4 linked regions of the Anolis sagrei genome follow. The protein of the gene in region 4 purifies or fractionates together with the protein of the main gene of each other region. This does not show direct contact. Links are inferred from orthologs where the notes say so. Each region holds a gene or a part of one and is shown on either strand. Other genes may lie near its edges.

The links.
Region 1: the proteins of LGALS3 (region 4) and SLC12A7 purify together in Homo sapiens (affinity purification with mass spectrometry; 3 studies listed by BioGRID and IntAct, counting the BioPlex papers as one, with this or other methods). This does not show direct contact. The link is inferred for Anolis sagrei from reciprocal best matches to the Homo sapiens genes LGALS3 and SLC12A7.
Region 2: the proteins of LGALS3 (region 4) and SLC12A2 purify together in Homo sapiens (affinity purification with mass spectrometry; 3 studies listed by BioGRID and IntAct, counting the BioPlex papers as one, with this or other methods). This does not show direct contact. The link is inferred for Anolis sagrei from reciprocal best matches to the Homo sapiens genes LGALS3 and SLC12A2.
Region 3: the proteins of LGALS3 (region 4) and SLC15A4 purify together in Homo sapiens (affinity purification with mass spectrometry; 3 studies listed by BioGRID and IntAct, counting the BioPlex papers as one, with this or other methods). This does not show direct contact. The link is inferred for Anolis sagrei from reciprocal best matches to the Homo sapiens genes LGALS3 and SLC15A4.

What each region holds. Positions count from the first base shown.
Region 1 is NC_090024.1:105,604,206-105,612,722, forward strand, and holds the start of SLC12A7 (solute carrier family 12 member 7), read right to left. Parts: upstream 3,187-8,517; 5' UTR 2,977-3,186; coding exon 2,838-2,976; intron 1-2,837. UniProt on the Homo sapiens protein: Mediates electroneutral potassium-chloride cotransport when activated by cell swelling. May mediate K(+) uptake into Deiters' cells in the cochlea and contribute to K(+) recycling in the inner ear.
Region 2 is NC_090022.1:237,137,529-237,145,033, forward strand, and holds the start of SLC12A2 (solute carrier family 12 member 2), read right to left. Parts: upstream 3,188-7,505; 5' UTR 2,055-3,187; coding exon 1,476-2,054; intron 1-1,475. UniProt on the Homo sapiens protein: Cation-chloride cotransporter which mediates the electroneutral transport of chloride, potassium and/or sodium ions across the membrane. Plays a vital role in the regulation of ionic balance and cell volume.
Region 3 is NC_090034.1:38,968,084-38,976,252, reverse strand, and holds the start of SLC15A4 (solute carrier family 15 member 4), read right to left. Parts: upstream 3,262-8,169; 5' UTR 2,718-3,261; coding exon 2,142-2,717; intron 1-2,141. Other genes in the region: GLT1D1 (glycosyltransferase 1 domain-containing protein 1), read left to right, coding at 5,414-5,481. UniProt on the Homo sapiens protein: Proton-coupled amino-acid transporter that mediates the transmembrane transport of L-histidine and some di- and tripeptides from inside the lysosome to the cytosol, and plays a key role in innate immune response.
Region 4 is NC_090021.1:336,975,264-336,982,834, forward strand, and holds the start of LGALS3 (galectin-3), read right to left. Parts: upstream 3,350-7,571; 5' UTR 3,241-3,349; intron 1-3,240. UniProt on the Homo sapiens protein: Galactose-specific lectin which binds IgE. May mediate with the alpha-3, beta-1 integrin the stimulation by CSPG4 of endothelial cells migration.

The sequences.
Region 1 (8,517 bases), on a different chromosome or scaffold from region 4:
TTTTTGCTTTTAAAGTCCCTTCCACTGTGTTTTTTAGTGTTTTTATGAGTGATGGACACTTGTTGACCTGATAGGTGTATTGTGTCCAAATTTGGTGTCAATTCGTCTAGTGGTTTTTGAGTTATGTTAATCCCATAAACAAGCATCATTTTTATTTATATAAATACCAAATTTGCCAAGGGGCCCCTGGTGGTGCAGTGGGTTAAAGCGCTGAGCTGCTGAGCTTGTTGACTGAAACGTCGCAGGTTCGAATCTTGGAGAGGCGTGAGCTCCCTCTGTCAGCCCCAGCTTCTGCCAATCTAGCAGTTTGAAAACATGCAAATGTGAGATCAATAGGTACCTAACGGCGTTCCATGCAGTCATGCCGGCCACATGACCATGGAGATGTCTACGGACAACACTGGCTCTTTGGCTTAGAAATGGAGATGAGCACCACACCCCAGAGTTGGACATGACTGGACTTAATGTGAGGGGAAAACCTTTACCTTTACCTTATTACCAAGTTTGCCTACCTGCGTGATCACATTTCCGTTTATGAACCCACGCATTCTCTTCGCTCATCCGGAGAGGCCCTGCTTGCGATCCCACCTGCGTCGCAAGCGCATTTGGTGGGGACGAGGGACAGGGCCTTGTCTGTGGTAGCCCCCTGACTTTGGAACACCCTCCCCAAAGACATCAGACAAGCCTCTGCGTTGGCAGTCTTTAGGAAGAGTTTGAAGACCTGGCTGTTCTGATGTCCCCTTCCAGAATAGGAACTCCAGCAATATGTCCCAGAAGCACTTTATCAGAGTTTTAAGATGGTCTGCACATTGCACTTACCCTAAAATCCTACATCCACCTATCACACCCAGCACTTTTTAATCTGTACCCATTACATTTGGCCCGGCCCTAGTTTTATTGTGTCGTGGTGTATTGTTTTTATTGTTCACTGCTATTGTTTTATTGTTTGATTTGCTTTAAGTTATGTGTTTTTGTTATGCTGTTGTTTTATTGAGGCCTTGGCCTGTGTAAGCCGCATAGAGTCCTTGGGGAGATGCTAGATAGGTAGGTAAAGGTTGTCCCCTGACATTAAGTCCAGTCATGTCTGACTCTGGGGTGTGGTACTCATCTCCATTTCTAAGCCGAAGAGCCAGCGTCAGGCCTGTAGCGAGGGGTGGGTTTTAGGGGTTCAACCCCCCCCCGAAATGTTTCAGATATTTTTAAAAAAACCTGGTTTACTCATGAATTTTAAATGGTTAATCAAATCCCCATGCTAAGTCTATGAGATGCAAAAAAATTAAGTCCCTCCAGAACTGCAAGCACTATCTAAAGAAAATATTGACAATTTATTCACACTGTCATTACTTGCAGCAATAGCCAATGTAGTGAAGCAACCAAGTTGGGGGGGGGAGGGGTTGAATGCTCTCATTAAAGATGATGGTACTCACCTTTAAGGCCTTGCATGGTCTGGGGCCGATGTACCTGAGAGACCGCCTCACCCCCTACCAACCCCAGAGATCCCTCCATTCTGAGGACCAAGATTTGTTGGAAATTCCCAGCGTCAAGACCTTGCGTCTAATAGCAATCAGACGCAGAGCCTTTACAGCAGTGGCACCATCACTCTGGAATACTCTGCCATCTGAAGTCCATGCCTTGCGGGACTTATTTATTTATTTATTTATTTATTGCGCTTATATACCACAATTCTCAGCCCCCAAGGGCGACTCATCAGATTTCCGCAGGGCATGTAAGACATATCTGTTTCGACAGGCCTTTGATTTTTTGATATTGCTGTTTTTAAATTGTTTTAAATTGTTTTTAAATTGTGTTAGATTTTAGCCATTCTTGTAAGCCGCTCCAAGCCCCAGGAGAGTGGCAGCACATAAATTCAAATAATAAATAAATAAAATAAGGAGGCCAGACTTGGTGGAGGTGGTTGACAGGGGCGGAGCTGCAGGCTATTGAAGGCTGCTCTGCCCCCTGCTGTGCTCCTTGCTTCAGCGTGAGCTAGGAGGCAGATTTCAACCCCCCCCCCCCCCCGAAAATTTCAACCCCTCCCGAAAATTTTTTCTGGCTACGGCCCTGGCCAGGTGTTGTCCATAGACACTTCCAAGGTCATGTGGCCAGCATGACCGCATGGAGCGCCGTTACCTATTGATCTACTCACATTTGCATGTTTTCAAACTGCTAGGCTGACAGAAGCTAGGGCTGAAAGCAGAAGCTCACGCAATAATAAAATACAATACAACTGTTTGGTTCGCTCCTGACACGATAAATAATCCATACTATAAATAGTAAAGTTAAAATCAGTTTAAAATTTCCTGTAGGATCATAAAGTGGTTTGTTAAAGGCTATTTCAAATGGAAAAGTTTTCACAATGGCATCAGATTATCTGGCAGTGTGGACTCATATAATCCAGCTTAAAGCAGATATCTGGGTTCAGATCCTGAGGTATAGAGCACTCAAATAACCCAGTTCAAAGCAGATATTGGGAGATTTTCTGCCTTCTAGGTTATATGGGTGTGTGGAAGGGCCCCATGAAAGCCTTGGAGATCATACTATTGCTCGGCTTGATTCCTTTCCAGCCTTTGAGCCTCGTTGGCTGGCCCCGCCCCCTCGGCTTTGGCCCCGCCCCCTTCTCCTCGGCGGAGGAGAGGCCACCTGTGGGACCGGGAACAAAACAAAGTTCGGACCTGCGTTTCTCTGGAGGGGAGGGGGGCTGGCTGTGCTCCTTCCCAGCAGGCAGCGCGCGGCAGGTAACGGGGCGCGCGCCACCTGAGCGCCTCTCTCGCTTGCTCTGAGGTAACAAAGCCAGGAAGGCCTCCCGCCACCACCACACGCCCCCAGGCTCCACTCACCTCCGCTCTCCCTTCGAGGCTGCCACCGGTTGCAGCGCTCGCAGCCGGACCCCTCCTCTTCCCCGCGGTCGGCTTCTCCTTCTCCGTCGGGGTTTCCCTCCGGCGCCTCCACAGGCACCACGGTGAAGCTGGTGGGCATGGTGGCCGAGCCAGGAGTCCGCCCGCCAGCCCTTCTTTCTTTCCTTCCTTCCCTTTTCCTGCAACCGCGGCGGGAAGGCAACAGGGGCGGCCTTTTCTTCCCCGCCCTCTTTGTCTAGGAGTCTCTCCCTCTGGGCGGGAAGAAGAAGAGGAGGAGGAGGAGGAAGGCCCCACCACCGCCGCCGCGCCTTCTTCCCGCACTCACGCCTCTGACTCACGGACTTTCTTTCGCAAAGAAGGAGAAGTCCTCGCGCGCGGCCCCCCCTCCGCGCCATTGGCCAATGGGCTCCTCCAATGGCGAGGCTGGGTTTCACAAGAATGGCCCATTCTTCTCCTGTGCTCCAAGCATGAAGAGCTCAGAGAAGTCGCACACCTGGAAGGGACTCCCTCTCTCTTTCAGGCAAGGGCAGACTTCCTCCCTCCAGGTATTTTGGACTTCCAAATCCCGACCCATGCCTGAAAGCCAAAGTTTGTATTGAGGGGGACTCCTGAGAACGTGCAGAGTGCAGGCCCCATCAGTATGTACCAATGTGGGTGATTTTTGTTCATTCGTTCAGTCGTCTCCGACTCTTCGTGACCTCATAGACCACCCCACGCCAGAGCTCCCTGTCGGCCGTCACCATCCCCAGCTCCTTCAAGGTCAGTCGGCCATCAGAGTGGTGTCATTTGCATATCTGAGGTTGTTAATGTTTCTTCCAGCAATTTTCACCCCAGCTTTGCATTCATCAAGCCCCCCACATCGCATGATGTGTTCTGCATACAAGTTAAAAAGGTTGGGTGAGAGTATGCAGCCTTGCCGTACACCTTTCCCAATCTTGAACCAGTCTGTTGTTCCGTGGTCAGTTCTGACTGTTGCTCCTTGGTCCTTGTACAGATTCCTCAGGAGAGAGACAAGGTGGCTTGGGATGCCCATCCCACCAAGAACTTGCCACAATTTATTATGATCCACACAGTCAAAGGCTTTAGAATAGTCAATGAAGCAGAAGTAGATGTTTTTCTGAAACTCCCAGCCTTTCTCCATTATCCAGCGGATATTGGCAATCTGGTCTCTCATTCCTTTGCCTTTTCTAAACCCAGCTTGAACATCTGGCAACTCTCGCTCCATGTATTGCTGGAGTCTTCCTTGCAGGATCTTGAGCATTACCTTACTGGGATGAGAAATAAGGGCCACTGTACGGAAGTTTGAGCAGTCTTTCGCATTTCCCTTTTTTGGTATGGGGATATAAGTTGATTTTTTCCAGTCTGATGGCCATTCTTGTGTTTTCCATATTTGCTGGCATATGGCATGCATCACCTTGACAGCATCATCTTTTAAGATTTTAAACAGTTCAGCTGGGATCCCGTCGTCTCCTGCTGCCTTGTTGTTAGCAGTGCTTCTTAAGGCCCATTCAACCTCACTCCTCAGGATGTCTGGTTCTAATTCATTGACCACACTGTCAAAACTATCCTCGATATTATTATTACCGCATCCCAAAAGTGCTGTGAACTCCACAAATGATGGCTCCGAACCAAACTCGACAAATGATGGATTCAAACCTGAGCATTAGGAAGAACTTCCTAACTGGGTTGTTGTAGGTTTTCCGAGCTATATGGCCATGTTCTAGAGGCATTTTCTCCTGACGTTTCGCCTGCATCTATGGCAAGCATGCTCAGAGGTAGTGAGGTCTGTTGGAAGTAGGGAAATGGGTTTGTATATCTGTGGAAAGACCAGGGTGGGACAAAGGACTTTTGTCTGCTGCAGCTAGGTGTGAATGTTTCAACAACCCAGTGATTCCGGCCATGAAAAACTTCCTAACTGTTACAGTTTTTCACCATCACCTTAGTGGCTGATTTTTGCACCCTGAACTTCTTTAGATGAGGAGAAACAATGTGCCTCCACTCTTTTGACTGCTTCTGGAGCCAATATTCCAGAAGACAGGAACAGAATTCAAATTAGAGAGATGGGCCAAAACTAACAAAATGAAGTTCAACAGGGACAAATGCAAGATACTCCACTTAGGCAGAAAAAAATGAAATGCAAAGATACAGAATGGGGCTCAAAAGCAGTACATGTGAAAAAGATCTTGGAATCCTTGTGGACTACAAGTTAAACATGAGCCAACAATGTGATGCGGCGGCTAAAAAAGCAATGGGATTTTGGCCTGCATCAACAGGAGTATAGTGTTTAGATCCAGGGAAGTCATGCTACCCTTCTCTTCTGCCTTGGTTAGACCACACCTGGAATATTGTGTCCAATTCTGGACACCACAGTTGAAGAGAGATGTTGACAAGCTGGAATGTGTCCAGAGGGAGGCAACTAAAATGATCAAGGGTCTGGAGAACAAGCCCTATGAGGAGCGGATTAAAGAGCTGGGCATATTTAGCCGTGATAATTTTAGTCGGCCTCCTCTGGACACATTCCAGCTTGTTAACATCTCTCAGACCACACCTGGAATATTGGGCACTGCAATTGAAGGGAGATGTTGACATGCTGGAATGTGTCCAGAGGAGGAGGACTGAAATGATCAAGGGTCTGGAAAACAAGCTTTATGAGGAGCAGCTTAAAGAGCTGGGCGTGTTTAGCCTGCAGAAGAGAAGGCTGAGAAGAGAAATGATGAGGACCATGTATAAATATGTGAGGAGAAGTCATAGGGAAGGGGGAGCAGGCATGTTTTCTGCTGCCCTGGAGACTAGGATGTGGAACAATGGCTTCAAATACAGAAAAGGACATTCCACCTGAACCTTAGCAAGAACTTCCTAACTGTGAGAGCTGCTCAGCAGTGGAACTCTCTGTGGTGGAGGTTCCTTTGGAGCCTTTAAAACAGGCTGGAAGGCCATCTGTCAGGGATGCTTTGAATACAATTTTCTTGCTTCTTGGCAGAGAGTTGAATTGGATGGCCCTCGGGGTCTCTTCCAACTCTATAATTATATGATGTGCTGGGTTTGACTCCAGAACCCTCTTTTTATGGTCCTTCAAGTTGTTGTTAATTTATGGTTGGAACATAAAGAAGAGTAAGAGAAAAATGCACCTTTAAGCATAAGAAGGGTAAGAGAAAATGCATCTTTAAGCATATCCAAACACACATGGAAGAGTCTGCTGTTATCTATCTCTTAGGAAGAGGAGGAGGAGGGAAAGGAAGGGAGGAGAAGGAAAAAAGGAGAAAAGAAGGGAAGAAAAGGGAGGAAGGGTAAAGAAGAGAGGGAAAGGAATGAGTGAAGTGTATGAGCGGAAGCAAGAGAAGGAGGAAAGAAAGGAAGAAAAGAGTGGGAGAATATATATGATGGAGGCAGGAGAATATATATGATGGAGGGATAGAGCTACAAAGGCAAGATCAACACTGCCCTATACCCCAGGATCTGATACCAGATTATCTGCTTTGAATTGGATTATATGAGTCTACAGTGCTAGATAATCTGGGATAATCAGATAATCTGGGATCAGATCCTGGAATATAGGGCAGTGTAGATCCAGCCAAAGAGAGCCTGCCTATTGTTGCCAGAGCATTGGCATGGAGACATTGTGAGGTAAGCCTTCTCAGAGCTGGAGAAGAGAGAAAGCAGGCAGGCAACGCCCCTCCAACACCTGGACAACATTTTATAATAAAGACTATCAGTCAATGAACCTTATGCAACTCCAGCATTTCATTTACAGTGAGCCCTTGGCATCCACTGGGTTGGTTCCAGGTGCCTTCAAGTCATTTCTAATTTATGGTGACTCTAAGGTGAACCTATCACAATTTTTCTGGGGCTGAGAGTGTGTGACCTGCCCAAGATCATCCAGCTACTGGGAACTGAACACTGGTTTCCAGAGTTGTAGCATGACATTCATATCTGTGGATACCAACATTTACAGATTCTCAACTCACATTATCCGGAATAGCAACCTTCATGTAAAATGATAAACAACTCAATTGAGTGCCAGAGAGGGCCCAAGAAGTTGTAATGGTTGAATGCTGCAGTAGGGTATGCCTGAACATCAACATAGTTCTCAGCGCATGAAAAAAAATTGGCATTTGCGTTGGGATTTTTCCCCCCCAAATATTTTCAAGCCATGGTTGGTTGAATCAGTGGATGCAGAACTTCTAAATATGAAGAGCTGACCATGTCTTATACAATGGATGAGGCTATAAATTGCTACTTTGTGGTGGCTTTTCTGTGGCATTACCATATCTTATATCGCCAGTGATTCCTCCTCTGTGTGCATGAAGATTGTTTGTACCATACAGGAACCTGTGGCTGATTCTCAAAGTAGCAATACGGACAGTCAAAAAACATGCTATGCAGGCTTGACAACCAATAGCAATTAAAAGTTTATGTTCTATCTAAATACCAAATGAAAGTATTGATTTTATTTAACCTTGCTTTATATTTGTCAGTAAAATTAATATGTGATCCACATTTATAAATTACATTTCTGTCTTTGTGAAGGGCTCATGCTTTAAAATTCAGGATTTTTTCCTCTTGTTTAGAGGAAAAAGAGAAAGCTGTGTACACAACACATAGGGATAAAAGTGCTACTGATAAGCAGCAATGTGAGCAATGCTAAAGAGTGATAGTGAAGTTTAAGGGAGTTGAAGGGTTAAAACAGAACAAGCAGAAAGGACTCCGATAAGCAGTAACATCACTGTAATCAATTACTGAGCCCTTGCCTTTCCCTTGAAATAACTACTAACATTATGTTGATTTATTTTTGAAGGATTCGTTTTCTGCAACCAAGTAGGACTCAGAGATGTTCTGTTAAATATAAAATTGGGCAGCAGCACATACAATGAAAGGCACTGAGCTAACCTTTAAACATAAGATAGCAGCTATTCTAAAACTGGCTTGGCTGCTGAAAGATTTTCAAGTGTTCCAAGTTAAGATGATAATACCAGCAGCAGTTTTGTCATTCCTGGTTTGCATTCTTGAATTCGCAAAGATTGCTCAAAGTCTAACATATAGCAGTTGTTTATTTACAGATGGCATGTGTCTTTGTTAATATTTTACTTGTAAAATTTGTACTTCATTTATTTTTTTCTGTTATATAATCCAGTATGCCAAAAGTGTTAGAACAATTTAAATACAAAAAATACAAGTCATCAACAACACACACAAAACCAAATGAAATAAGATTTGCTCCAAAAAGTAAACACTTTGGAAGAGCAAAGGCATGGCAAAGACTATCATTATAGGCACTTGAATTGTGCTGTGAACATTAAATACAGCTATATTGGGTTCATACATTTGGAGAAAATTGGGAAATGGAAAATATTCTTGGGAGTGTGTGGATCACAATAAATTGTGGCAAGTTCTTGTTGGTATGGGCATACCAAATCACCCTGTCTCTCTCTTGAGGAATCTGTATAAGCACCAAGTAGCAACAGTAAGAACTGACCATGGAACAACAGACTGGTTCAAGATTGGGAAAGGCATATGACAGGGTTGTATACTCTCACCCAACCTATTCAACATGTATGCAAAACACATCATGCGATGTGCGGGGCTTGACGAATGCAAGGCTGGGGTAAAAGTTGCTGGAAGAAACATTAACAACCTTAGATATGCAGATGACACCACTTTGATG
Region 2 (7,505 bases), on a different chromosome or scaffold from region 4:
ACATACGTAAACTGGGTTGTTGTAGGTTTTTCGGGCTGTACGGCCATGTTTCAGAAGCATTATCTCCTGACATTTCACCTGCATCTATGGCAGGAATCCTCAAGAGCAGGGGTCCTCAAACGAAGGCCCGGGGGGCGGATACGGCCCTCCAAGGTCATTTACACAGTCCTCGCTCAGGGTCAACCTAAGTCTGAAACGACTTGAAAGCACACAACAACAACAACAATCCTATCTCATCAGCCAAAAGCAGGCCCACACTTCCCATTGAAATACGAATATGTCTATATTTGTTAAAATTGTTCTTCATTTTAATTATTGTATTGTTGTTAAGTGTTTTTTGCACTACAAATAAGATATGTGCAGAATTCATTCATGTTTTTTTTTCAAATTATAATCCGGCCCTCCAAGAGTTTGAGGGACTCTGACATGGCCCTCTATTTAAAAAGTTTGAGGACCCCTGCTGAAGAGGTTGTGAAAGGATGCTTCCCATAGATGCAGGAGAAACATCAAGAGAGAATGCTTCTGGAAGATGGCCATACAGCCCAAAAAACCTACAACAGCCCAGTGATTCTGGCCATGAAAGCCTTCAACAATACATTGAACATATGTAAACATTACAATCATAGAGTTGGAAGAGATCTTGTGGGTCATGCAGTCCAACCCCCTGCCAAGAGGCAGGAAAATTGCATTCAAAGCACCTCTGACAGACAACTATTATGCATAGAGCCAAAGCCAGATAATCAGACAATCATATTCATCAATCCAGGGTCAATTCCAACTGTATTGCACAGATAATTGTATTGGGCTTGCTTCCAAAGCCGAGTTTTCACTTGTTTGCGAAACAACAGGAGGGAAAGGGGCCAATCCAATTCCACTAGGGAGGGAATTCCACAGCCAAGGGGCCACCACTGAGAAGGCCCCGTCACTCATCCCCACTGCAAAGGTGGTGGGACCGAGAGCAGGGCCTTTAACAATGGCAATGGAGATAGACAGTTGAATCTCCTCAGAGTTGAAGCCTAGAAGACCAGTTTGGGAATCGCTGAAAGTGTCATGGTTTCTGTTGCCCAGGGCATGGGACAACTTTGGCCCTCCATGTGTTTTGGACTTCAACTCCCACCATTCCTAACAGCCTCAGGCCCCTTCCTTTTCCCCCTCAGCCGCTTAAGCGGCTGAGGGGGAAAAGGAAAGGGCCTGAGGCTGTTAGGAATGGTGGGAGTTGAAGTCCAAAACACATGGAGGGCCAAAGTTGGCCATGCTTGCATTATCCAATGGGTTCCTTTCCACAACCAAGCGTTTCCCAAAGTGGGCTCCTCCAGCTGTTGAGTCTCCTGGGAGTTGAATCCCAAACACCTGGCCTCCCTACAGAAGGAAAAGGTCCCAGGAGAAGGCCCTTTCAGCGCAGTCACTCCTGCATCACTGCGTCCCAAAGGAGAACGCGTGGCTGTGCGGATGGGCCAAAGCGGCGTCTCTCTCACCTTGTCCAGCTCGTCGTGGAGCTCGGCCAGACTGGGCCGGATGAGCTTCTCTCCCAGGCCGGCGGCCGTGTGCCGGTAGTAGTCGATCCTGGGCACGGCGTCGATGGTGTTGTGCCCGAAGGTGCGCATGTAGTAGGTGTTGGTGTGCGTGTCGTAGTAGTAGTGGTGATGGGAGCCCGAGTGGAGGCTGCCTTCGCTCAGCACCGTGTCGCCGCCGTTTTGGAAGCTGACGTTGCACCCTTCCAGCCCGATCCCGACGTCTCCCGAGCCATCGTCCGCGGCCGAAGAAGGGTCCACGAAGTTCACCCGGAACCGGCCCTTGGCTTCCTCGCCGTCGCCTTTGGCGTCCTTCTTCGCTCTCGGGGCCGCCGCTTCCTCTTCCTCCTTCCCCTTCCCCTCTTTGGCGGCGTTTTCCGCCACTAAGTCCACTTGGAAGCGGCTCTGGCTCGGCGTGGGTCCCAAGGGCCGCCCCAAAGAGGCAGCAGAAGGGTCTTCCTCGGCGGCGGCGTCCTCCCGGGCAGCTTCGGGTGCAGCCTTGAGCCTCGCCGGAGGAGGAGTGTGAGGCGCCTTCCCTTCCATGTTGGCTGCGGCTGCTGCGGCTGCTCCGCGAGGGGAACGAGAAAGGGCGCAAGGCTGTGCCTGGGCGCTTTAAGCGGAGCAGCCGTTGCTGCTTCTGTTTCTAGTGATGCCGCACTCCGGGAGACAACGCCTCTGAGGGCGGGCAAGAGCGGAAAAAAAGCCCAAGCCCGGCCCCTTTCTCGGCTTTCCCTCCGCCTCTGCGCCAGGTGGAGAGAGAGAGAGAAGGGAGGAAGAGAGGATGCTCCCGCTTTGACGCTCGCCTGAGGAGAAATGGAGGCAGGATGCGGGGGAAACCAGAGAGGCCGGCCTCCCTCCCTCCTTTCGCTCGCCTCGCCTTCTTCCTTCTCCCTCCCTCGCGCGCGCTAACTTCACTCTGAGGGGAAGAGAGAGAGAGAGAGAAAAAACGTGGTGACGTCACGCCCCCTCGCGCGCAGTCTGTTTCCCTGCCTCGCGCGCCCCAGTCTCTTGTGTGTGTTTCCCTTCCTCTCTCTCTCTCGCGCGCGCGCCTGCCCCCCTCCCTTCCTTGCCTGTTTCCCAGCTTCTCTCGCGCGCGCCTGCCTCCTTTGCCTGGCTTGCGCACCCCAGTCTCCGTTCCCCTGCCTCTCTCTCTCGCGCGCGCCTCCTTCCCCCGGCTCGCGCGCCCCAGGCTGTGTGTTTCCCTGCCTCTCTCGCGCGCCTCTCTGTGAGTGTTTCCCTGCCTTGCTCGCGCCTCCCTCCCTTTTTTTTACGGCTCCCGCGCACCAGTCTGTTTCCCTGCCTCTCGCCTGCCTTTTTCCCTCGCCCGGCTCGCGCGCCCTAGTCTGTGTTTCCCTGCCTTGCTCACGCCTCCTCCCTTTTGCACGGCTCGCGCGCACCAGTCTGTTTCCCTGCCTCTCGCCTGCCTTCTTCCCTTGCCCGGCTCGCGCGCCCTAGCTTGTGTTTCCGTGCCTCCCGCGGCTGCCTGCCTTTCCCTGGCTTTCTTCTTTCTCTCTCTCTCTCTCTCAGTACAAACAGCCCAGCCGGGCGCCCGATACAAGGCAAAAACAACCGGCAAAAAAGAGAACGCGGCCCGGCTGCCAGCCCAGCCAATGGCCTGCTTCTAGGGGCGGCTCGGAGCTTTAAAGCATCCGCCGTGAGAGGGAAGGGGAGGGAGAGAAAAAGAGAGATAGAAGGAAGGCGGAGTTTGGACCGGGCGGAGTGGAGCGGATGCCGGCGCCTCTAGGAGTTGCCCGAGGCGGCGGCAGAGGCAGGAAGAGACGGAAGCACCTCCCACCCATCGTTCTTCGCTTTCAAGGGTGCATCTAGCCAGGCTGTTAGGAATTGTGGGAGCTGAAGTCCAAAGCACTCGGAGGGCCGAAGCTGGCCCGTGCCTAGTCTAGACTGCTGGATGAATACAGTTTGACGCCGCTTCAACTGTCAAGGCCCAAATCTCGCGAGGAGGCGCGCAGCTGTTGCTCCTTTTCTCTTTCGTGCCTGCGGGAGCTTCCTTCCTTTTCCTTCCTTCCTTCCGAGCAAAGCGCGTGCCTCGAGGCCGGCCCTCCAGCATCGTGTTGCTGCTGCCTGAAGACCTTTTATTATAGGATGGCAACCGACCTCTTGCTAAATGTGCTCTTCTGAGATGCTTATGCTTAACCTTCAACAAGGGTTGAAATGGAATCATGTCCCCTAATTGGAAAAAAAATTACCTCACAGCCATGTACAGCCAGGCCTCTGTATCCACGGATTCTGCACCCAGTGTTTCAAAATATTCCTTGAAAATCCCAAGAGCAAACCTTGGGTGCAGCTACACTGTAGAATGAATGCAGTTAGATACAAGTTTAACTGCTATGCCTCCCAAATGTGGGTTTTATGTATTGTCGAAGGCTTTCATGGTCGGAATCACTGGGTTGTAGGTTTTTTCGGGCTCACTACTTCTGAGGATGCTTGCCATAGATGCAGGCGAAACGTCAGGAGAGAATGCCTCTAGAACATGGCCATATAGCCCGAAAAACCTACAACAATCCAGTTGTAGTTTTGTTTCTATTTTGGTGTATGTGGTTATAAATAAAAATTATGTCAAGAGGACAATCTGAGGTTGACCTGGGCCCTTCCCCGCCCCCTCATGGCCCCGCCCTCTCACATGCCCTCTCCCGGCCTGGCACACCCACCCTCTCGGTCAGGCCCACTATGCAGCCCAAGGCAAAAACTTTGTCCATGCCTGAGTTGGTCACATACAGGGTGAGGCAGCATAACTTCCTTTTTAAAATGTGCGCCATTCAGTTGGTTGAAGATGTAGCGGAGCTCTAGTGGTCTCATTCAAGAGGCGGGATTATAAAGTTTTGTTCTGACACAGTTCAGTCGCCATCATGCATTGGAACAGTCAGGAGCGCGCTTTTGCCGTTGAGGCCTACTTTTTGAGCGGATTTGGAGTGGCCGGCCCATTCCAGATTTGGCCCCTTGTGATTTTTTTCTATGGGGTTTTTTGAAATTCCGTGTTTATGTGAACCGTCCAAGGACCCTACAAGATTTGAAGACCAACATCCAGGAAGAAATTGCTAACATAACACCTGCTATGCTGGCAAGAGTCATGAAAAAAGCTAGAAATCGGATTACTCAGTGTATGGAGAATGGGGGACGTCACCTACCTAATTTGATCTTCAAAACTACATTTAAAAATTTTATTAGGAATGCGCCGACATTGTAAAAAAATAAATAAATTCTGATTCATACAATGGGTTTTATTAAATTTTGAAAAAAGGAAGTTATGCTGCCTCACCCTGTATAAGCTGGGAATACATCCCAGGGTGTATCTACACTTGAATCACAAACACACTTCTGCCAGAAAAGCAAGCTTAAGACATCATGGAAGCACACCTGATCAAAGCATTGGCACCTCTTAGACCATGTACAGTGTTCCCCCTCTACTTCGCAGTTTGCTTATTGCAGGCTTGCTGTTTCACAGGTTTTTTCTTACCTTGGGAGCCACGGGGAGGAGGGGGAGCCAGGCGCTGGGCCTTACCCTGGGGCATGTCTCTGGGCTGGGCCTCTGTTTCTTCCCGCTTGTGAGGCCTCAGCGCGGAGTGTGGAAGATCAGGCCCCATCACAGCCTGGCAGTGGCGTCAACGGCGCCCAAGGGGCCTCTGAGGAAGAAGCGGGGAGCAGTGGAGGCGATGAGAAGGCCGCCGCCCAGTTCTTCCAGCAGTCACCAGCCAATCCCTCTGCAATGCCAGAAATACAGCTTAATGGTGTAACATTTCTGCTACCTTATTATTATTATTATTATAACTTTATTTGTACCCCGCTAGCATCTCCCAAGGGATTCGATGTGGCTTACAACAGGCCGAAGCCCACACAATACAACAATACAGTACCTAGCAAATAAACAGTTAAGCAAGAACAATAACAATAGCAGTACAACAAGACATTATTAAAACTGAGCCGGCCAGAGTGGGGGTACAGGGTTAAAAGTGCTGATGTGTCGGAGGGATATGGGATTATAATATAAGTGCGGTGTGCGGTGATCTTGGTTCTAACTAAAGTGCTTCTGGGATTTGGTACTGGGGTTCCTAGTCTGAAAAGGCACATTGGAACAGCCAAGTTTTCAAATTCTTTCTGAAGACTGCCAATGTAGGGGCTTGTCTGAGGTCTTTCGGGAGGGCATTCCAGAGGCGGGGGGCCACCACAGAGAAGGCCCTGTCTCGTGTCCCCACCAAGCGCGCTTGTGATGCGGGCGGGATCACGAGCAGGGTCTCTCCAGATGATTGGAGTGAACGTGTGGGTTCGTAGACAACGATACGGTCACGCAGGTAGGGTGGTCCCAAACCGTTCAGGGCTTTGTAGGTAAGCACCTGCACCTTAAATTGGGCTCGGAAAATAAATGGCAGCCAGTGGACCTTGGCAGCCACCTCTCCACAAAAGTCAACATTGACACTGAAATACAACACCGCCTGAGCTCTGCGAGTGCAGCATTTTTCTGAATGAAGCAGACAGTGTGTAATATGAATGTTATTAGGTTGATTTTAATACACAATTGTATAACTTCAGGCTTCAAGGTGTCTTATTTACATCTTCCTGTACTATGTTGTAGGACATATGTAGAAGTAGAGATAGATAAAAGAATGCAAATTTGCTTCTGTTCACTTAAAGAAGGTAATATTAAATTAAAAGTTTTTTTTAAAAAAAAATCTAATCAGAATGATAAACCTGATGTTCTGCTATCAGTTCATTAATGTTTGGTTCTATCTTTGTCAACAGCATGAATTAAAATTTGCACTATTGTTAACTGTAATATAATTCAAAAACAATCAGAATTAGATTTCATATGTGTTGCCTGTTTATAATATCATATTGTAATCAAGTCAGAACATGCACAGTTTACTGACAATCCATGGCATGCTTGCCTGCCAATGCTTGCTTATTATAACCTACCAATGGACTTGACAATGAAAGAGTTATAACTTGCATTTGTGTTTACATTTAGAAAATAAAATAATCACTGTAACTTTGTTATTCAACAGATGAAACATGAATGAATGGTTTTACAATTTTTTATGTTTCCAGTGCCTGCTTACTTTTATTCAATGTCCTCCAATTACACCTGACACTACTACTACTACTACCACCACCACCCCGATCTGTGATGTATTCAAGTGCAGTATTAATCATATCAGCTCTTTTATTGTGTTCCTTTCCTACCCATCCTAGTTTGGAACTCATTTAAAGAAATGGAAGTGTACGCAGTGACACATCTGTTCAGGGCTCCAGTCTCTTTCCATGGGTACATTCATAATGAACACATTGTTTTAGGTTGTAACCTTACACTCCTGGGAATATACACCACTGAACTCAGGAGAATTTACTTTCTAAATGACAGCAGAAGATTATGATATTAATTTTTAAAACTATTTGTTGATAGAAAAGTCTGGGAAGACCAGAAGACCACACAAGTTTTCAGTTTGCTCCAAAATATTTTCGTATTGACCTTTTCCATGGATTTAATCATTTGGGATTATTGCCTGGAAAGCTTAGAATCCCCTTAAAAAGCAAAAGTAACTTTGGTGGGTTACAAGGAAAAATAAAGTGTGTACTTGGTCAATAATTTGTTAAGAGTACCAACCTGGGTGGCGCAACAGTTTAAACCGCTGAGTTGCTGAAAGTTGGTGGTTCAAATCAAGGGAGCAGGTTAACCCACTGTTAGCCCTGCTCCAGCCAACCTGGCAGTTCGAAAAAATGCAAATGTGAGTAGATCAATAGGTACGGCTTCTGCAGGAAGGTAACAGCGCTCCATGCAGTCATGCTGGCCACATGACCTAGAAAGTGTGTCAGAGCCAGCTCTTCAGCTTAGAAGTGGAGATGAGCACCATCCCCAGAGTAAGACATGAATCGACTTAACGTCAGGGGAAACCTTTACCTTTACCAACCAAAATGCCAAAAAAAAAAAAAATGTTCTCCAGAACTTCAACTAGGCTATTGAGTTTTTGTACCATTTAGTTT
Region 3 (8,169 bases), on a different chromosome or scaffold from region 4:
AAGACTGGGCGACTTGGAAGGCACTGAACAGACTGCACTCTGGCACCACGAGATGCAGAGCCAATCTTAAGAAATGGGGCTACGAAGTTGAATCCACGACATGTGAATGTGGAGAAGAGCAAACCACTGACCACCTGCTGCAATGCAACCTGAGCCCTGCCACATGCATGATGGAGGACCTTCTTGCGGCAACACCAGAGGCACTCCAAGTGGCCAGATATTGGTCAAAGGACATTTAATCAGCTACCAAGTTTGCAAAATTTGTGGGTTTTTTTAAATCTGTTTGTTTGTTTTTGTTCTGTTAGAAATGTAATACAACGTTCTGGTTGCGGATGACACGATAAATAAATAAATAGCCTCCAGTTTGCTAGCAAGACTAAATGACTGTGGCCCCTTCCACACAGCTGAATAAAACCCCACATTATCTGTTTTGAACTGGGATATATGGCATTGTGGACTCAGATAACCCAGTTCAAAGCAGATATTGTGGGTTATTCTACCTTGCTATTCTGGGTTATATGGCTGTGTGGAAGGGCCCTGTGTCAACAAATGATGCTTTTCGTTATTACAATTTATGTATGCGTTTCTGTCGCGACATCATGAATGTCTAACAAGTGTGTCACCAACAGGAAATGTTTGGAAAGCTTTGATCTATGACATGTTTATCCAATTTCATCAATCCAAGTGACAGTCAGGAAATCCGTCTGCTTGACTGGTTCCCACAGCAACGTGCAATCTCATTCGAAGGGCCCTTCCAAACAGCCCTATATCCCAGAATATCAAGGCAGAAAATCCCACATTATTTGAGTGTGGGCTCAGATAACTCAGTGCAAAGCAGATATTGTGGGATTTTCCGCCTTGATATTCTGGGTTATATGGCTGTGTGGAAGGGCCCTAAGAGCAAGGCAGTGGGGGTAATACCCTATTTACTCAAATCTAATGCTCACCTTTTCGACTAAATTACCTTCCCAAATTAGAGTGTGCATTAGGTCATCATAGGGCCCTTCCACACAGCCGTACAACCCAGAACATCAAGGCAGAAAATCCCACAAGTTCTTTTTTGAATTGGGTTATCTGAGTCCACACTGCCATATATTCCAGTTCAAAGCAGAAAATGTGAGATTTTATTCAGCTGTGTGGAAGGGGCCTTAGTGCTGAGCCAATGCAAAAGGGGAAGCAGCTTCAGGAACTGCACCCAGAGCTCTTATTTGGGGAATATTATCTCTAATTTATTTGCCATGCCTCAATGTTATGTAATCCTGGGATGTGTAGTTTGGTGAGGCATTGGTCTTCTTTGGCAGAAAAGGCTCAAGACCTTGTAGAACTTCAGCTCCATGATTCCATAGCACTGAACCAGGGCAATTACAGTGGATTCTTTCCATACCATCGATGCAGCCTGAGGTTTTCTTTTCCATTTTTAGAAGTTTTGGCGTTCTAACACTTCTGTTTTTATAGAAGGAATCCTAATCAGGCAGCAACTACAACGGCCAAATGACAAAGGCCCCTTCCACACAGCTGAATAAAATCCCACATTTTCTGCTTTGAAGTGGAATATATGACAGTGTGGACTCAGGGCCCTTCCACACAGCCCTATATCCCAGAATATCAAGGCAGAAAATCCCACATTATCTGAGTGTGGACTTAGATAACCCAGTTCAAAGCAGATATTGTGGGATTTTCTATCATGATATTCTGGGATATAGAGCTGTGCGGAAGGGCCCTGGGTTATCTGAGTCCACACTGCCATATATTCTAGTTCAAAGCAGATATTGTGGGTGTTTTCTGCCTTGATATTCTGGGGGCTCTCCCACACAGCCCTATATCCCAGGATATCAGGGCAGAAAATCGCACAATATCTGCTTTGAACTGGGATATCGGAGTCCACACTCAGATGTGGGATTTTCTGCCTTTGATATTCTGGGATACAGGGCTGTGTGGAAGGGCCCTCAGACAACACACTTCAAAGAAGATATTATGGGATTTTCAGCCTTGATATTCTGGGTTATTTGGCTGTGTGGAACGGCCCAAAGACTGCACATTACATTCAGCTACAAATACTTTTTTTGGTTTCGGGGTTTCGAAAATGAAGGTGCGCATTAGATTCGATGGCGCATGAGACTTGTGGAATTGTGGTACTCAACCTGATCGGCTCCGAAGGGTGTGATGTTGGCCTTGACCGACCCGACGCTGATGCCCACAAGCACCAGGCCAATGAAGGTGGCAGCGAGGCAATAGCGGGTGGCTCCCTCCAGCTGGCACGGCGGCGATGTCACGTTGGTGTCCAGAGGTGCAGAGCAGTTCTCCACGGGCCATGGGTGCATTTCGCCGCAGAGCCACTGCCGGGTGGTGGGGAAGGCCATGGCCGGGAAGGCCAGCATCCCCAGCAGGTACAAGGCCATGCTGACCAAGATGGTGGGGAATTTGCCTAGCAGGGCATCTGCCAGCCAGCCCCCAAAGGGAGACACGAGGTAGGTGATGCCCATGAAGAGCAGCAAAGCCTGGCTGGCCTGGGCCCCCTCCCAGTTGTACGGGGTGCCATTGAGGAAGAGCACCAGGTTGCACGTGATGCCGTAGAAGGCCACCCTCTCCAGCAGCTCAGCCAGGAGCACCGCCGCACACGCCAAGCGCCGCCCGTGGAACACGGAAGAGGACCCCACAGGTGAGCGGGCCTGCTCTCCAAGGAGGGGGCTCCGCTCACTCGCCTGGGCCTCTTCCATGGGGATGATGGGTGATGAAACCCTCAAGGCTTGGCCCGGCTTCAAGGTCAAGGCGACTGAGTTACAACAACTTCCAGAAAGTATTCGAACAGACCTCCAACTTTGAGTCTCTCCTGCTGTGTCCCCAAGACCCTACTGCCCACTGTCTTGAGGGTTCTAGGAGTCAGCAACCTCCCCTTTGGCCAATCTCTGACCTTTCTCCCTCCCAGTCCACTCAACACAGATCAAACTCGTTTAGGGGTTCCAAGGCTGCCCCTTCTTAGAGTCCCAGCCCCTCCCAATGCCTCCGGGCCTCCAAACTCAGCCCAATTTTAGCTGCCCCGCCCGGGATTCGAACTCGCGGAAAAGCTGGTGGGAATCTGAATCTTCCGGGCCCTTCCTACGCGCGCGCCCCCTCCCCCTGATCTAAGTGAATCCCCGCTTTGCCTGCCGTTCCCTAGACCCTCGCTTCCTCCCTCGGGGGCAGCGGCGACGAACTTCTCTCTCTCTCTCTCTCCGCGCTTGGAATGCCCAGGTTCCCTGGAGAGCCCGCCTCCTCCGAAGCGCGGCTCCGCTCTCTGATTGGCCGCTCCGCGCGTCTTTCAAGCCCGGGAGGCTCTTCCAGGTCCAGGCCTCACGTGGTGAACAGCTGCGAAAGAGGTCCTTTGTGGAGGGGGCTGGGGAAGGGGCCAGGGCCCAAAGGGCTGCCATCACCAGCCACGGCGACCGGCCTGCTCGAGGGACACCAAACGTAGGAGGAAACTATGACTGGGAGGGCACTATATCTTCTCCTACGTTTTCTGTCCAACTACCAGGCCGGTTGCAGTGGCTTGTTTTTCCAGACAGGCCCTTTTATCCCAGGCCCCTTCCACACAGCTGAATCAAATCCCACATTAATTGCTTTGGACTGGAATATCTGGCAGTGTGGACTCCGATAACTCAGTTCAAAGCAGACATTGTGGGATTTTCTCCCTGGATAGTCTGGGTTATATGGCTTCGTGGAAGGACCCTGAAGCAGCATCTATTTATTTATGTATTTATTTACTATACTTGTATACAGCCTCTCTCAGCCCGGAGGCAACTCGAGACGGTTTACATTTGGCAATCAATGCCCCACAAGATAAAATACAGTAAAAAACAATTACATATAGTATAAACCATATAAAAAAAATTAACAATTAAAACCATAAAATACAGTTCTCAGCGTCTCATCATTAGAATCATTTTCCGTTGCATCGTCCTGTCGTTCCATGAGTCTCAATCAGTTATACTTTGTCTGCAAATGCCTGCTCAAACAGCCAGGTCTTAACTCTCTTTTGAAATGTCGGGAGGGAGGAGGCCAATCTAATGTCCCTAGGGAGGGCTTCCCATAGTCGGGGGGCCACCACTGAGAAGGCCCTTTCTCTCGTTCCCACCAATCAGATCTGCGAAGAAGGCGAGACCAAGAGCAGGGCCTCTCCAGATGATCTTAAACACCTAGATGGTTCATAGGAAGAGATGTGTTCAGACAGGTAAACTGGGCCAGAACCTTTTAGGGCTTTAAAGGCTAAAGCCAGCACTTTGAATTGTGCCTGGTAGCAAACTGGCAGCCATTGGAGTTGTGCGCTCCCTGAGTGCCGCTCCTGTTAACAACCTGGCTGCTGTCCGTTGGACCAACTGAAGCTTCTGAACAGTCTTCAAAGGCAGCCCCACCTAGAGAGCATTGCAGTAGTCTATACAGGATGTAACGAGAGCATGGACTACCATGGCCAATTCAGACTTCCCAAGGTATGGGCGCAGCTGGTGCACAAGTTTTACTGTGTGAATGCTCCCCTGATCACCGCCAAAACCTGGGGTTCCAAGCTCAGCGATGAGTCCAGGATCACATCCAAGCTGCAAACCTGCATCTTCAGGGGGAGTGTAACCCCATCCAACATAGGCATCTATTCTATATTTCAGCAGTTGTCCAGTATCTTATGCCTTTCTTCTCACCTCCTTCCTGATAGTATTTACTTGGAAATGTCAGGGATCAAACCCAGGTCTACCTGCCTCCAAATCAAGTTCTCTACCTGGGGTGGAACTTGTGACTTCCAGAAGTTTCACACGTTAGTCCCAGAAGCCCCACCCAATGGTGTGGGATGGCGGGGGTGTTGTCCAAAGGATCCAGAGGACAAAATGGTCCACAGTTCCCTTACTGATTATTCAGTTCCCTGTGATCAATTGCCGCTCCACTTTCTCTGCCATTGATGTCCCTCCATGTCAATAATATTGCCCAACATGGGTCTCCACCCCATCCGTGTGAGATTACTCATATTCTGACATGTGAAAAGACAAGGCTACAACCTCAGCAGTTATTTTTCTATGTTCACAGAGTTGTTTTTGAACCCCATCTGAAGCTGGAATGGTTTAACCAAGCGCCCTTCCACACAGCCCTGTATGCCAGAATATCAAGGCAGAAAATCCCACATTATCTGCTTTGAACTGGAATATATGGCACTGTGGACTCAGATAACCCAGGGCTGGTTGGTTAGAGTCGGAACGACCTTTCCTGGGCTTTGTTTCAGCGGGGAGGCGGCTGGCGGGTTGGACGACAGCGTCCGTGGTTGCCATGGCTGCAGACGCGGCGCCCTACCCACAACCCTTTGAGCCGACAGGTGGCTTCCGGCGCCGCTGAAAAGGGGGAAAGAAGGTCACGCGACGCCGCCCGGAAGTAGGGCAAGAGGTGCAGGGACAGAGCTATGCGCGTGTTACTCCTGGCCAGTTTGCGAGCCCGGACGGGGAATGGCACCACCGCTCAGAGGATCCAGTAAGTGCCATCCTGGCTGAAGGCAGCGGTTCTCCGTTCAGCTCAGCAGCCTAAGTCCCATCTCAAAGTCCTAGCGTTGGAGGAGACCCCAAAGGGCCATACAGTCCATCCCCTTCTGCCAGGCAGGAAAAGCACAATCCAAGCACCGACAGGTGGCCATCCAGCTTCTGCTTAATCACATCCAAAGAAGGACTCCGAGGCAGAGAGTTCCACTGTTGAACAGCTCTTCTCACAGTCAGGATGTTCTTCCTAATGTTCACGTGGAATCTCCTTCACTGTCGTTGGAACTCTCGGCTCCATTGAGTCCTAGGGCCCTTCCACACAACCCTATATCCCAGAATATCAAGGCAGAAAATCCCACAATATATGCTTTGAACTGGGTTATCTGAGTCCACACTCAGATAATGTGGGATTTTCTGCTTTGATATGCTGGGATATAGGGCTGTGTAGAAGGGCCCTAGGGCCCTGTCCACACAACCAAAGGTAAAGTTAAAGGTTTTCCCCTGACATTAAGACCATGTCCAACTGGGGTTTGGTGCTCATCTCCATTTCTAAGCCGAAGAGCTGATGTTGTCCGTAGACACCCCCAAGATCATGTGGCCGGCATGACTGCATGGCATGCCGTTACCTTCCTGCTGGAGCAGTACCTATTGATCTCACATTTGCATGTTTTCGAACTGCTAGGCTGGCAGAAGTTGGGGCTAACAGTGGGAGCTCACGCTGCCTCTTGAATTCGAACCTGCGACCTTTTGGTCAGCAAGTTCAGCAGCTGAGCGCTTTAACCCATTGCTCCACCGGGGGCTCCTCCACACAGCCATATAACCAAAAATATCAAAGCAGAAAATGCCATAATATCTGCTTTGAACCGGAATATATGGCAGTGTGGGCTCAGATAACCCAGTTCAAAGCAGACATTGTGAGATTTTATACAGCTCTGTGGAAGGTGCCATAGGGGCAGTGTGGAAGGGTCCAGTGTGGAATCAGGGCCCTTCCATAACAACAACAACAACAATTTTTATACCCCGCTTCCATCTCCCTGAAGGGACTCAGGGTGGCATACATAGGGACAATCCCAGAAAAACATAGGTTAAAACATGACGCAATAAAATAAAATAAAAAATAAAATCAAAATAAACCAAAATAAAATAAACACTTCATCTCCCAGAAATCCTAACAGCTGGTAAACTGGCTGGAATTTCTGAGAGTTGTACGCCAAAACACCTTGGGACCCACAGGTTGAGAACTCCTGGTCTAGATCAAGGGAAGTCATGGTGCCCCTCTCTTCTGCTTTGGTCAGATCTCACCTGGAATAACAACCCAATTCTGTGTGAAGCAATTCAGGAAGGATATGGACAAGATGGAATGTAATTCTTTGAGTTTAAGACTCGGGGGGGGGGGGGTGTTCTTATAATGAAGGTTCCATTAATTCCGACCAGAAAGAAAGTAAAGTTTACTTTTCTCTCCATCTGTTGCCCTTGTATAAGATGGTTTTGCATGTTTAGTCCTTAATATTTGATAAGATTATGAGAGCTCTTCAACAGTGGAACTCTTTGCCTCAGAGTCTGGCGGAGGCTCCTTCTTTAGAGACTTTTAAGCAGAAGCTGGATAGCTGTCTGTTGGGGGTGCTTTGATAGTGCTTTTACTGGATAGCAGGGAGCTGGTCTAGATAGCCCATGTGGTCTCTTCCAACTCTATGATTCTAAAAGGAGTCCTTAAATGTACTCCTGTGAGGAGGAATTTGAGGAAGTTACTACTGAAAGGTCTCACTCTTATCTTAAGAGTGGGTTTGCATGCAGATCTTTGTAGCAAGCCCATACAAGAGCAGGAAGTGTTTTAAATAGCTTGGTTACAAAGTATTTAATGCAGTTAATACTTGCAGAAAGTATTTAAAACAGCCTAGTTACAAAGTCAAGAATGATTGACAACTGGAAAATAGAGGGAGAAAATGTGGAGGCCGTGACAGACTTTGTATTTCTAGGTGCAAAGATTACTGCAGATGCAGACTGTGGCCAGGAAATCAGAAGACACTTACTTCTTGGGAGGAGAGCAATGTCCAATCTCGATAAAATAGTAAAGAGTAGAGACATCACACTGGCAACAAAGATCCGCCTAGTCAAAGCCATGGCATTCCCTGTAGTAACCTACGGATGTGAGAGCTGGACCTTAGGGAAGGCTGAGCGAAGGAAGATAGATGCTTTTGAACTGTGGTGTTGGAGGAAAGTTCTGAGAGTGCCTTGGAATGCGAGAAGATCCAACCAGTCCATCCTCCAGGAAATAAAGCCCGACTGCTCATTGGAGGGAAGGATACTAGAGACAAAGTTGAAGTACTTTGGCCACATCATGAGGAGACAGCAAAACCTAGAGAAGACAATTATGCTGGGGAAAGTGGAAGGTAAAAGGAAGAGAGGCCGACCAAGGGCAAGATGGATGGATGGCATCCTTGAAGTGACTGGACTGACCTTGAAGGAGCTGGGGGTGGTGACGGCCGCCAGGGAGCTCTGGCGTGGGCTGGTCCATGAGGTCACGAAGAGTCGGAGACGACTGAACGAATGAACAACAACAAACAAGTTACAAAGTATTTATGGCATCAAAGTAACTATTTTGTAACCAAACTGCTTAAAATGTTTTCTGTAAAGTATGAAGCACCAGTGTCATCCTGGAAATTCTGCAGCCTCGCTTCCCAACATG
Region 4 (7,571 bases):
TTCATAGCAAGATAGATAAGATTGCAAGATAGCAAGATGGATAGATAGATAGATAGATAGATAGATAGATAGATAGATAGACAGACCAACAGATGTTGCTCATGGGGTTGGATGGAAACTGTCCTCCAAAATCCCTGGCTTTATTGGAATAACAACAACAACAACAACAACAACAACAACAACAACAACAACAGAATCATTGTATCCAAGAGTTGGAAGAGACCTTATGGGCCACCCAGTCCAACCCTTTTCTGCCAAGAAGCAGGAAGATCACATTCCAACCCCTCCAGACAGATGGCCATCCAGCCTCTGCTTAAAAGCCTGCAAAGAAGGAGCCTCCACCACACTCCAGGGCAGAGAGTTCCACTGCTGAACAGCTCTCCTTATAGTTAGGGAGTTCTTCCTCTTGTTCAGGTGGGCTCTCCTTTCCTGTAGTCTGAAGCCATTTTTCCATTGTGTCCTAGTCTTCAGGGCAGCAGAAAATAAGCTTGCTCTTTCCTCCCTATGACTTCCCCTCGCCTATTTATGCCTGGCCCTCATCATGTCTCCTCTGAGTCTTCTCTTATGCAGGCTAAACATGCCCAGCTCTTTAAGCCGCTCCTCGTAGGGCTTGTTTTCCAGACCCTTGATTTTTGTGCCACCCTCCTCTGGACACATCCCAGCTTATAGTCAATGGTGCCCAGAATTGGACATAGTGTGATTCCAGGTGTGGCCTGACCAAGGCAAAATACCATGACTTCCCTTAAGGTGAACCAATCACTGGGGTTTTTATGTGTATGTAAATGGCAGGAATGTATATAGCAATGTATGTATTGGTGGAAAATCTGTTTATGGACATATGTATATATTGGTTTTTATCTATGTGTTTATGTATTAGTCTAATTTAAAAGCATGGGAAAGGGAATATTTCCTCTTCTGCACAGACATGAATGGAAAAAGGAACTCTCCCCAGTTTTAAATATTTAACAAGGAGAAAGATGACCAACAAGGTGTGGAAACTATGAATCCCAATGACAAGGGGCTTATTAGGGTGTTGGATAGGTTTACCTTGAAGAAAGGGAAGCGTGAAAGGGAAGCACGAGAGCCAGGTTTAAATATTGGAAGGGAAATCCCATTGAGGAGGAATTAGCAAGCTTGCAATGGGTTTAAAAGCAGGAAATAAGATTCACGGAAAGGCTTCTGAGCCAATCTTGCCATGAAAATACCACCTTAAGCACCAAGGATCCCCCCCCCCCCCACGCCCCACGATGATTTAATTTATGAGCTACCAATTTGGCCAGATCCCTGCAAGATGAAAGATAAGCTTTCAGCTTCATGACAAGGAAAAGTATCATCTTTGGGTTTGGCACTAAAGGATACCCCACCCTTTCCCCAAATTATGGCTGATCACCTGTCAAGTGCCAGATTCCTGCATGATGAAAGATAAGCTTTTGGCTTTGTGACAAGAAAAAGTATCACCTTTGCGTTTGGCACTAAAGGATACCGCACTCTTTCCCCAAATTATGGCCAACCACCTGTCAAGCACCAGATCTCTGCAAGAGGAAAACGATGATTTGATTTACGAACTACCAATTTGACCAGATCCCTGCAAGATGAAAGATAAGCTTTTGGCTTTGTGATAAGGAAAAGTATCACCTTTGGGTTTGGCACTAAAGGATACCCCACCCTTTCCCCCAAATTATGGCCGACCACCTGTCAAGCGTCAGATCCCTTCAAGAGGAAAACCATGATTTGATTTATGAACTACCAATTTGGCCACATCCCTGCATGATGAAAGATAAGCTTTCACCTTTGTGATAAGAAAAAGTATCATCTTCGGGTTTGGCACTAAAGGACACCCCACCCTTTCCCCAAATTATGGCCGATCACCTGTCAAGTGCCAGATCCCTGCAAGAGGAAAAGAAAGCACTTAGGTTTTGCTATAAGGAAACGCTCTCAGGATTTGTGACCAAGGAAAGACTTTTGAACGAAGTTTGCCAAGAAAATCCCATGCTTTTAGGGTTTGGCACCAAAGGGGTTGATTGAACAGCCATCAATAGCCAGATCCCTGCAAGATGAAAGATAAGCTTTCAGCTTTGTGACAAGGAAAAGTATCACCTTCAGGTTTGGCACTAAAGGACACCCCACCCTTTCCCCAAATTATGGCCAATCACCTGTCAAGCGCCAGATCCCTGCAAGAGGAAAAGAAAGCACTCAGGTTTTGCTATATGGAAACGCTCTCAGGATTTGTGACCGAGGAAAGACGTTTGAACCAAGTTTGCCAAGAAAATTCCATGCTTTAGGGTTTGGCACTAAAGGAGTCGATCGAACTATCAATTTGGCCAGATCCCTGCATGATGAAAGATAAGCTTTCAACTTTGTGACAAGGAATGGTATTACCAGGTTTGGCACTAAAGGATACCCCACCGTTTCCCAAATTATGGCTGATCACCTATTAAGTGCCAGATCCCTGCAAGAGGAAAAGAAACCACTCAGGTTTTGCTATATGGAAACGCTCTCAGGATTTGTGACCAAGGAAAGACGTTTGAACCAAGTTTGCCAAGAAAATTCCATGCTTTAGGGTTTGGCACCAAAGGGGTTGATCAATCGGCTATCAATGGCCAGATCCCTGCAAGAGGAAAGGTAAGCACCCTGGCTTTAGGACGAGATAAGACTTCGGAACCAGGAAAATCTTAAATTTTGACATAAAAGGACCTCTGTCCCACCATGGTTTTATTGATAGACCATTAATGGAAAAACACCGTAAGAGGAAAGGTAAGCTCTCAGGTTTTGTGGCTTCTTAACCAATTCTTCCAAAACAATCCCATGCTTTAGGGTTTGGCATCAAATGAGCCTATTATCCTGGTTGTGGATGGGCAGATCCTTGCAAGAGGAAAGCTAGGTTCTTAGGTTTTGTGACAAGGAAAGGCTTAGGAGCCAAGACTCCACTTGCTTCCTTTACTTTTAGGGACTTCTGTACCTTTAATGCAAGCCTGGGCAAGCTTGGGCCCTCCAGGTGTTTTGGACTTCAACTCCCACAATTCCTAACAGCCTACCGGCTGTTAGGAATTGTGGGAGTTGAAGTCCAAAACACCTGGAGGGCCCAAGCTTGCCCACGCCTGCATTAAAGGTACAAAAGTCCCTAAAAGTAGGGAAGCAAGAGGAGATTTTCCCAAGTTTTCAATCTGAAAGAATGCGACCTTTTTCGGGTTGAGAACCCAGAGGCCAAGAAGCCACCCCATTCCCTCCTTGGCTCCTTACCTGGGTGGGTCTACCTGGGTGTCTGTCACTAGTGGACGAAGAGTTCTCCTCGGTCGCCAAAGACGGGCTGAAGCAACAGGGAAAGGCTGGAGGCGCTCAAATAGCCAAGCCCCACCCGAGACCGCCCCACGCGGGACCGCCCCACCCAAGGAGGAGGTGCTCACTCAGATGCAGGGGAGGAAAAGGAGAACGAGGGGGTAAGGTGGCCTCCCTTCAGTGCCTGGTATCAAGGGGTCTCCCCTCTGCCTTTGAACCACTCAGTGGTTAGATCCCTGCAAGGGGAAAGGTAAGCCTTCAGGCTTTGAGACAAGGAGGGGCTGCTTTCTGAAACCTTTCTTCCCAGGAAATCTCAAGGAGAATGAGGGGCTAAAGTGGCCTCCCTCCAATGCCTGGTACTAAAGGGTCTCCCCTCTGCCTTTGAACCACTCAATGGTTAGATCCTTGCAAGGGGAAAGGTAAGCATTTAGGCTTTGCGACAAGGAAAAACTTCTTTCTGAATACTTTCTCCCCAGGAAGTCTCAAGGAGAATGAGGGGGTAAGGTGGCCTCCCTCCAATGCCTGGCACCTAAGGGACCTCCTTTGCCTTTGAACCACCTTATGGCTAAATCCCTGCAAGGAGAAAAGTAAGCCTTCAGGCTTCGCGACAAGGAAAGGCTTCTTTCTGAAACCTTTCTTAGCAGGAAATCTCAAAGAGAATGAGGGAGGGGAGGGTAAGGTGGCCTCCCTCCAGTGCCTGGTACCAAGGGGTCTCCCCTCTGATTTTGAACTACCTTATGGTTAGATCCCTGCAAGCGGAAATGTAAGCCTTCAGGTTTTGAGACAAGGAAAGGCTTCCTCCTGAACCCTTTCTCCCCAGGAAATCTCGAGGAAAATGAGGGGGTAAGGTGGCCTCCCTCCAATGCCTGGTACTAAAGGGTCTCACCTCTGCCTTTGAACCACTCAATGGTTAGATCCCTGCAAGGGGAAAGGTAAGCCTTCAGGCTTTGCGACAAGGAAAGACTTCTTTCTGAACCCTTTCTCCCCAGGAAATCTCAAGGACAATGAGGGGGTAAGGTGGCCTCCCTCCAATGCCTGGTACTAAAGGGTCTCCCCTCTGCCTTTGGACCACTCAATGGTTAGATCCCTGCAAGGGGAAAGGTAAGCCTTCAGGCTTTGCGGCAAGGAAAGGCTTCTTTCTGAACCCTTTCTCCCTGGGATGTCTCAAGGAGAATGAGGGGTAAGGTGGCCTCCCTCCAATGCCTGGCACCCAAGGGACCCTCTTTGCCTTTGAACCACCTTATGGCTAGATCCCTGCAAGGGGAAAGGTAAGCCTTCAGGCTTTGTGACAAGGAAAGGCTTTTTTCTGCACCCATTCTTCCCAGGAAATCTCAAGTTTGGCACCAAAACAAACTTCCCTCTGCTTGTGGCTGGTGACACTTATACAACACAATATTTGTTACTGGGCTATTAATATCATTTCCTAATTGGTTCTATCCTTAAAAACATGGACAAAGTTTATTAAATTGCCAAAACTTTGTTCTCTGCAGGAGGGACATCTTGCTGTAAGCACATTTGGCTATAGCTTTTCTATAATTAATGTCTTTCTTAATTAGTTAGGCGATCCCTCGTAGCCCGAGGATGATGGTCCTCCAAGTGGAGTGTCTTGGTGGTGGGTCCATAGGTGGCTGTGGAGCCCTATTCCTGATACGCATGTTCTTATGCAGCGAGGACATCAGTTTCCAGATGGAAGGCAGTCCCAGTCAGAGTTGGCTTGACGTGCCTTCCTCTTGGCACGTTTCTCCCTTTCGTCCTTCATTCGTGCCTTTTCGAATTCTTCGAATTGAGCGCTATAACTGGAGGTCAGCTGTGACCAGTAGTGCTGCAGAATTCGAAGAGGCATGAATGGAGAGCGAAAAGGAGAAACAGGCCAAGAGGAAGGTGCATCAAGCCAACCCTGACAGATTCATCTATCTATAAATTTGGATAAATTGTGTTGATCTATCCATTAGCCAGATCCCTCCAACAGGAAAGATAAGTCTTCAGGCTTCGTAACATGTCACATCTTGATAGGGTTTTGCACCAAAAGACCCACTCCCTCTGGTTGCGATTAATGATCTAACCCTGCAAACGCTCCAGTTTTATGACAAGGATTTCCTTCTGAACCATGTTGTTCATTCGTTCAGTCGTCTCCGACTCTTTGTGACCTCATGGACCAGCCCACGCCAGAGCTCCCTGTCGGCCGTCACCAACCCCAGCTCCTTCAAGGTCAGTCCAGTCACTTCAAGGGTGCCATCCATCCATCTTGCCCTTGATCAGCCCCTCTTCCTTTTGCCTTCCACTTTCCCCAGCATAATTGTCTTCTCTAGGCTTTGCTGACTCCTCATGATGTGGCCATAGTGGCCAATAAAAGCACTGTTGAGTTTGTTACCAAAGATTCCTCAGTACTCAAATGCTTGAAAGATGAAAGGTAAACACTCAGGCTTTTTGGCATGGAAAGGCTTCTGAGCCAATCTTGCCATGAAAATGCTGCCTTGAGCACCAAAGTACCCCCCCCCCCAAAAAAAACCCCATGGTTTGATTTATGAGCTATCAATTTAGCCAGATCCCTGCAAGATGAAAGATAAGCTTTCAGCTTTGTGACAAGAAAAAGTATCACCTTCAGGTTTGGCACTAAAGGATACCCCACTGTTTCCCAAATTATGGCTGATCACCTATTAAGCGCCAGATCCCTGCAAGAGGAAAAGAAAGCACTCAGGTTTTGCTATAAGGAAACACTCTTAGGATTTGTGACCGAAAGAAGGCTTTGGAACCAATTTTGCCAAGAAAATCCCATGCTTTTGGGGTTGATCGATCAGCCATCAATGGCCAGATCCTTGCAAGAGGAAAAGAAAGAACTCAGGTTTTGCTATAAGGAAAAGCTCAGGATTTGTGACCGAGGGAAGACTTTGGAACCAATTTTGCCAAGAAAATTCCATAGTTTAAGGTTTGGCACCAAAGAGGTTGATCGATCAGCCATCAATGGCCAGATCCCTGCAAGAGGAGAGGTAAGCATCCTGGCTTTAGAACAAGATAAGACTTTGGAAGCAAGAAAATCTTAAATTTTGACATAAAAGGACCTCTGTCCCACCAAGGTTTTATTGTTAGACCATTAATGGAAAAACACTGTAAGAGGAAAGGTAAGCTCTCAGGTTTTATGACAAGGAAAAGACTTCGGAACCAATTCTTCCAAAACAATCCCATGCTTTAGAGTTTGGCATCAAATGAGCCTATGATCCTGGTTGTGGCTGGGCAGATCCCTGCAAGAGGAAAGGTAAGTTCTTAGGTTTTGTGACAAGGAAAGACTTTGGAGCCAATCTTGCCACGAAAACTCACTTATGGTTTGGTGCAAAGGAACCCTCTTTGCCCTCTGGTTGTGGCTCATTATCAATCAATTGCCAAATCCCTGCAAGAGGAGAGATAAGCTCTCAGGATTTGTGGAAACGAAAGGCTTCTGATCTATTCTTGCTAAGAAAACTTCCTAATAGAATTGCCTCGTCCACATTGGACTAGTTTGCTTTTAAGAACCTTAGGAAGAACTTCTAACTCTATAGCAGGCCTGGGCAAGCTTGGGCCCTCCAGGTGTTTTGGACTTCAACTCCCACAGTTCCTAACAGCCCAGCGGCTGTTAGGAATTGTGGGAGTTGAAGTCCAAAAACACCTGGAGGGCCCAAGCTTGCCCAGGACTGCATTAAAGGTACAGAAGTCCCCAAAAGCAGGGAAGCAAGAGGAGTCTTCCCCAGTTTTCAATCTGCTAATTCTGAAAGAATGCGATCTTTTTCGGGTTGAGAACCCAGACTCCATTATCAATCAATGGCCAAATCCCTGGCTCATTATCGATCAATGGCCAAATCCCTGCAAGAGGAGGGATAAGCTCTCAGGATTTGTGGCAAGGAAAAGCTTCTGACATATTCTTGCTAAGAAAACTTCCTAATAGTGCTGCCTTAGGGTTTCATATCAAAGGAAACCCTCCCTTATCCTAGTTTGGGCTGGTAATCTGTCAAATGGCCAGATCCCTGCAAGAGGAAAGATAGACTCTCAGGTTTTGTGAATGAATTTTGCCATAATGTTCATTAATTTATTTATATAGATCAGTGTTTCTCAACCTGGGGGTCAGGACCCCTGGAGGGGTCACGAGGGGGTGTCAGAGGGGTCACCAAAGACCACCAGAAAACACAGTATTTTCTGTTGGTCATGGAGGTTCTGTGTAGGAAGTTTGGCCAAATTCTATTGTTGGTAGTGTTCAGAATGCTCTTGCCATGAAAATCCTGCAATCAGATCATTATAGGTTGGAAATGTTTTGAAGGCTCACAACA